Linked DNA regions of Oryctolagus cuniculus. The protein of the gene in region 2 binds, or shares a complex with, the protein of the main gene of each other region. Links are inferred from orthologs where the notes say so. Each region holds a gene or a part of one and is shown on either strand. Other genes may lie near its edges.

What was found. Proteins that work in one complex are often made in the same cells at the same time.
Region 1: EXOSC8 (region 2) and EXOSC1 share a complex: the UniProt entries of both Homo sapiens proteins name them as parts of the RNA exosome core complex. The link is inferred for Oryctolagus cuniculus from reciprocal best matches to the Homo sapiens genes EXOSC8 and EXOSC1.

What each region holds. Positions count from the first base shown.
Region 1 is NC_091446.1:32,404,310-32,407,615, reverse strand, and holds the end of EXOSC1 (exosome complex component CSL4), read right to left. Parts: intron 2,767-3,306; coding exon 2,733-2,766; intron 1,710-2,732; coding exon 1,659-1,709; intron 1,531-1,658; coding exon 1,446-1,530; intron 969-1,445; coding exon 862-968; 3' UTR 533-861; downstream 1-532. UniProt on the Homo sapiens protein: Non-catalytic component of the RNA exosome complex which has 3'->5' exoribonuclease activity and participates in a multitude of cellular RNA processing and degradation events.
Region 2 is NC_091440.1:77,074,986-77,078,626, reverse strand, and holds the end of EXOSC8 (exosome complex component RRP43), read left to right. Parts: intron 1-151; coding exon 152-248; intron 249-1,475; coding exon 1,476-1,596; intron 1,597-2,090; coding exon 2,091-2,197; intron 2,198-2,811; coding exon 2,812-2,927; 3' UTR 2,928-3,024; downstream 3,025-3,641. Other genes in the region: SUPT20H (transcription factor SPT20 homolog), read right to left, coding at 3,293-3,433. UniProt on the Homo sapiens protein: Non-catalytic component of the RNA exosome complex which has 3'->5' exoribonuclease activity and participates in a multitude of cellular RNA processing and degradation events.

The DNA.
Region 1 (3,306 bases), on a different chromosome or scaffold from region 2:
GCCACTTGAGGCCCGCCCTTCCCCTCCGCGCTGCAACCCCTCCATCCTTGACTCCATCCCTTCCTCACTCGAGCTGGGCCCTGCATTTCGGCTTCTGCATTTTGCTAGGGCTGCTGTCTGCCTCGAATATCTTCACTTTACTCCAAATTCTGTCATTCCTTTCCCGGCCACCTCACGTGAAAGCTCTGTCCGTCTTTTCAATTCCGATGGGTCACCCAGTCCTGGAGTACCCAGTACATCAGAAACCCTATTTTCACCAAATACTCTGCAGACCTATTCACGTGCTACCTGGATGAGCCCATCCGTGCTACAGTTTTCACTGTGCCGTAATGTACTGAAGTGAGGGGTGTACCTAGAGCCTGGAGCAGTTAGCAGAAGCATTTAAAACAGAACTCAAAACAATGCAAAAGAGGCTGGTGCTCAGGCTTCGTCTAAGCAAATGACACCCGTCGATCAGTGGGCGCCATCGGCAAAGCCTTGCTCTAAACGTTATGACACATTCAGGGGTTTTTCCCAGCTCAAGACAACAGCAGCCTGTAATAAAATCCTTTTAGTAAAAAATGTTTTCTTGATCACAGCAAAATATACACATTTATAAAGATACACTGTCGGGAGGAACAGGCTATTTCCCACAGGCCACAGCTCGCAGTTTACTGAGCCCCCGGAGGAGGAATGTCATCACTCGAGGGAGGGAAATCCACTCACAGGAAGGCTTCATCTGCACAATGAGTTTCCTGGTCGAGTCTTCTCGGGCAGTGCTGGCTGACCCTGGCCTTTGACGACAGACAATGCATCCGGGTGCTGTTTTCATACCTATGCTCTCAGAAACAGCTGAGCCCTCCGGGGGGTCACCATGGCCTCCTAGGTCTGCAAGAATTCAGGCTGCACGCGGGCCACTTTCCGGAACTCCTTAGTGTGGGTCTTAGGGCACTGCATCTCACACCAGCTGATGGGAACCATCTGGACACCTGGAAGGGAAAAGCTGGGTTTGCAGCTGGGACCTCAGATGTTTGCTTGAAGCCCTTTTCTTTCAGATGGGTACGAAGCTGAAGTATTACCAGGCTACCAGCAAACCTCCCCTCATACGGGAAAACCGTGTTTATCTCATGATTTATGAAGTGAGTCCCACCTCCTTAGGGCTAGCAGAATCTCATCTCTGCAGTAAGCACAGCCACGCATCACCTGATGGGGGCATGCGATTTCATAGTTGTGTGAACATCACAGGATGTACGGCTGCAACATCACTAGGTGATAATCTCATGCGACCACCAGCCCAGATGCAGTCTGTCACTGACCAAAATGCTGTTATGCAGTGCATCATGGTACCTACACTTATATTGCTTCCCAAACAATGACAAACTAGGGAAAGTCAGAAAATTAATGCATTGATCCCAAACCATACCAGCCAAGGAAGAATCAGAATGTAGAAGTGTAGACCAACTCACCTGACTCACTATGGGCCACCACCACTCCCAGCTCATTTTCAGCTGTGGTCAGCAGGTAGTTGGACTGGGCGTCACCTAGAGAGATCTAGTCACACAACAGCGGTGAAGGAAAATGAGAGGTTACAAGTCTTCCCCCCTTAGCCACTTGGGTTGTTTCTCTAGTTCCATGTCTTCTTCACGAAGAACCAGAAGTCTGCTGGGAATAAAGGATACCACTTTGGCCAAGACAATGTCCCCTGGACGGAAACTCTTGTATATTTCAACCTGTGAAGAAAGCATAGTGGTGTTAAGTGAAGCTCTGGATCAGAGCCACACAGAATCCTTAGCCCCTCTGGGAGAGCTTGTCGCCTATCTAACCCCAGCGGGGAGAAGGCATCATAGCCTGTCAGTCAACATCATACAAATCAGATTTTGAATTCAGTAATCCAATCAGGAATCAGACTACTGAATTTACTATAAAAAGGTACTATAGGGGCTGGCTTTGAGGTGCAGTGAGTTAAGCCACCACCTGCAACACATATCTGTATCCCATTTGAGCGCCAATTAGAGTCCCTGCTGCTCCACTTCTAGTTCAGGTCCCGCTAATGTGCCTGGGAGAACAGCAGAGGATGGCTCAAGTATGTGGGCCCCTGCCACCCACATGGGAGACCTGGAGTTTCTGGCTTCTGGCTTCAGCTTGGGGAGTGAACCAGGGATGGAAGACAGCTCTCTATGTAGCTGTCTTTCAAGTAAATATTTATCTTACAAAAAAAAAAAAAAAAAAAAAAAAAAAGGGCGGGGCAAGCACTGTGGCGCAGCACGTTAACGCCCTGGCCTGAAGCGCTGGCATCCCATGTGGGCGCTGGTTCAAGACCCAGCTGCTCCATTTCCGATCCAGCTCTCTGCTGTGGGCTGGGAAAGCAGTAGAGGATGGCCCAACTACTTGGGCCCCTGTACCCGCGTGGGAGACCTGGAAGAGGCTCCTGGCTCTGGATCAGCGCAGCTCCAGCCACTGCAGCCATCTCAGGAGTGAACCAGTGGATGGAAGATCTTTCTCTGTCTCTAACTCTCTCTGTAACTCTTTCAAATAAATAAAATAAATCTTTAGAAAAAGAAAAGATATAAGAGGTACTGCAGTTGGTTCTGAAAGATCCAGGACTACATCTGAGGGGACAGCAATGAATAAATACTTGGCTTTAAGGGCAAACCTAGCCCCACTCAGGTCAGATGAATTAACATAAATGTGAGTAATTGTAAAGGATTTCAATTGCTTCATTCATGGAAGAGAAAAACGAACCAACCAACAACCTTGTCTTTTTCAGTGGCTCGAACATCTTCCTTCCTACAAAAAAAAAAAGTTCACCAAAGGTTAATTATCTTCGAGAAAAACTGTCCTGAAGGTTCCTAGCAGGTGAAGGACTCTCAGAGCAGACGGAACAAGTCTTGACGGGAGCCAGCTGCCACCCAGAACGAGGGGGGGAGGCATCTTCGCCCACGGGAGAAAGCACTTGCCCATTGTCAGGCCATGCAGAGCAGCAGGAGCAACACCTCTGAGTACAGAAAGAGATCAGAGGCGGCAGGAAAAGATAAGGAACTTTGCTGCTTCAAGAGAACTGGAATGAAATGCCACAGAACCACACCAGACCCTGCAAAATCGAATTATCTGAGGTGGGTGTTTGGTGCAGTGGTAAAGCCGCCACTTGGGATTGTCCATGTCCTATCCTGCACTGCCCGGGTTAAGAGTCCCCACTCCGCTCTCCATTCCAGCTTCCTGCTAATGTGCACCCTGGGAGGCGCAGGTGATGGCTCAAGTAGTTGGGTCCTTGCTTCCTATGTGGGACAATGGATTGAACTCCTGACTCTCGGCTGCTGCAGGCACTGG
Region 2 (3,641 bases):
ACTTTATAGCGGTAAAACATGTTGTTAAAGTTTTTGAGCTTTAAAAGTTATCTTCCATATTTATCCAAGGATTCTGAGGTTGTTAAGTCTAAACCAACAGCATGTTTTACTCAGAAGGCTTTAATTTCTTTTTGTGTAAATTCTGTTTTAGCTTGCTTGGGTTCTATACTGTGATCTCATTTGCCTTGATTATGATGGAAACATTTTGGATGCCTGCACATTTGCTTTGTTAGCAGCTTTAAAAAATGGTAAGCAGCCTTTTATAAAAGGCTATTTTCCTAAAGGGTCAGAATGTTCTGTTTTGTGAAACTTCAGTGTCCACTGGCTCAATAAACTTTTTAAAGTTTTTTCTTAAGATAAGCCATCATTCATGTTTTTAAATTAATGAATATGGAGCTGGCATTGTGACAGGGTAGGTTAAGCCACTGCTTAAGACACTGGCATACCATATTGGAGTTCTCACTGCTCTGCTTCTGAACCAGCTCCCTGCCAGTGTTCCTGGGAAAATAGCAAATGATGGCCCAAGTATTTGGACCCTTGCCACCTATGGGAAGCTAGGATGGAGTTCCTGGCTTCAGCCTGGCTCAGACCTGGCTGTGGCAGCCATATGGGGAGTGAATTGGGATAAAAGATCTATACATCTCTCTGTTTTTGGTTCTACTCCCCAAATAAAATCTTTAAAAAATTAATGAATATATTACTGCTGTGACTTCCCAAATACACTGGGAAGTTCTATATTCTCTTAACTGAATGCCTTTTAGAGTCTTGCCACAACTGTCCCCATCTATTTGAGGTAGGACTGCAGTCGTTCCCCAAATAGCATTAATGTGGAGGGAGTTGTGACTACTCTCTAGGAGGTTTGGTGAAGATCTAAGTATTCTCTAAGTTCTTTTGTTGCCAACAAGGTGTAGAATGCATTCTATTGTTTTTACTCTAAGGCCATATAAATTACCTTAGTAAGGATCAGTAGACTCATTAGTTAGGATTTCAGTGGCTTGTATTTATCATTGCTTTGATGAAATGATAATACAAGGTATAAGTAGTAGTTAGCATGGTGGTATTACAGAGTAGCGGTTAAAGGACTCAAGTTTGAATCCTGACTCTACCAGTCTATGCTTTAGTTTCCTTGTTTGTAACAAAATGAAGATAATAGTACTTTTCTAAGAGTGTCAGTGATTAAATACATGAAATGCATAAAACAGTACCTGGCATATAGAAAATGACTAAAAGTTTTATCTACTAAAACTCATTTTGATTTCTTTAACTTTAAAAAGTTAAATAAGCACTAGGCAAGAATGTTAAATATTGTGAAAAACAATGTTTATATCTGCTTTATTTACCTTAATTGTTCTAAGATGCCTTTTTAAAAAGAATGTTTTGGATAAGTTAAACTGAAGACAAAAAAGTTAATAAACTGAAGAAATCATTTGTTGCTTAACACTACTCAGAGTGACTTTGTATTTGCCTTTCTCTAGTACAGTTACCTGAAGTTACTATTAATGAAGAAACTGCTTTAGCAGAAGTTAATTTAAAGAAAAAAAGTTACTTGAATATCAGAACTCACCCAGTTGCAACTTCCTTTGCTGTGTTTGATGAGTAAGTTAATCATATTTACTGAAAACTTTCTGTATTTGAAGTTAAGAAGATGGATTGTTACTCAGCTTTCTGATTCTTGAGGACATGCCTGTGGTTGACCATATGCCCTAGTTCACCCTGGATCTTTGAATTTATACCTGTTGTCCCTGCAGAGTTATTTCTAGTCAGTTCTTCCACTTTTCTAAACATCCTGATTATTAACTCTATGCTCACCTTGCTGTTCCTTGGTTTATATATATGAAATGTTAATTTTAAGTTCTTTCACTGAAGACTTTACCTGAATCTATTTTCAATATTTGCTAGAAAGTTTAATGTATTCACAAATTGAAGAGCAGAGTTTCTTACAAGTACTAAATTTGAAGTTGCTTTTCACTCTTCTGGTTTCTCATCAGTCCATTCTACCCCTAAGTTAAATTCAGGTGGTATACTTATTATTATTCTTAAAGAAATTTTTTCTATAAATTGGTAACTTTTTTTTTTTTTTTTTTAAATAGCACTTTGCTTATAGTTGACCCTACCGGGGAGGAAGAACATCTGGCAACAGGAACCTTAACGGTCGTAATGGATGAGGAAGGCAAACTCTGTTGTCTTCACAAACCAGGCATGTTTCTACCACTCCAGTCTTAAACCTCTGTTGGTGAAAACTCAGTATGAGCTTTACATAAATGAGAGGGTCAAATGGAATGTAGGATGTCTTATTATTTACCTATAGTGAATTTACTCTAGCTTTGCTATTTTAAGTTCTTTACATTTTCATATTATTAGTGGTTCTTAACATGGCGTACATCAGAAGCCTTGGAAGTCTTATTAAAACTTAACGTGGGGGGGTTGGCATTTTGCCTAGCAGTTAAGACACTGGGTTCATCTAGCTCCAGTTGCTGATTCCAGCTTTTTGCTAATGCAGACCCTGGAGGAGAAACAATGAAGACTCAGTTGTTAGGTGACTGCCACCCGTGTGGGTGGTCTGGATTCAGGATTCAGCTCCTGGCTTGTCTGAGTGGGGGTGGGTGGTGGGTGTGCATGTACATGTGCACTAGTGAATGGAATCTCTATACCTCTCAAGTAAACAACAACAAAATACCCTAGAAATCTTCAGGCAGTGCCACTGGTTTACAATTTTTATACAACTTTTTTTGTTTTGTTTTTTTTAACTTGTTACAGCTTTTTTTTTTTTTCAATGCTAATCTTAAAAGTGCTGATACAATCATTTTTCAGGTGGAAGTGGACTGACTGGTGCTAAACTTCAAGACTGTATGAGCCGAGCAGTTACAAGACATAAAGAAGTAAAAAAACTGATGGATGAAGTAATTAAGAGTATGAAACCCAAATAAATAGCCATGTTTTCAAAACAGATTTGTAAAAAATGTATTTGTTATACTGTGCACAATTTTTTATACTAAATAAATATCAAACTACAATCTTCTGAAAGATGTTTCTTGTATTTCTTAGGTTACTTCTATATATGTTATGTACAATGAAACAATTTTTGAAAAACAATGACTTAGGCAGACCAACCCTAATGTCAAACCATTTCCCTGTTTTTATTTAAAAATTATAGAGTTGTGCTTTTGTATAAAGTTTTTACATCTAGCAATGTAAAATACTGACAACATTAAAAAACCAAAAATGAAGTAGAAACTCAATCCTTTTGATTCAATGCTCTTTTGTGTTTAGAAAAAAGAAAAAAAAATAAGACTCAGAATTTTGGAGTGGTAGGCGTGCCTCTCTTCATTTTACTTTTTGACTGGCTGCCTGTATGCTGATGATGATGTAGCTGAGCTGTTTGTGCTGCTGCTGCTGCTGCCATAGCCATTTGATGCTGCAAGAATCGCAACTGCTGCAAAAAGGAGGGAAAGAAGTACCAAGTTATATTAACGCAGGCAGATGTGGACAGGTGCTTTTCCTGAGAGATGAAAACAACAAAACTGGAAGGGAGAAAGCACCGAGATAACAAAAAGGGACTATACCACACTGAGACAACACACAAACAGCACCAGTGGCACAGTAGCCTGCTGAGGGCTTTCAAAGTGATTCTTTGCAAACGT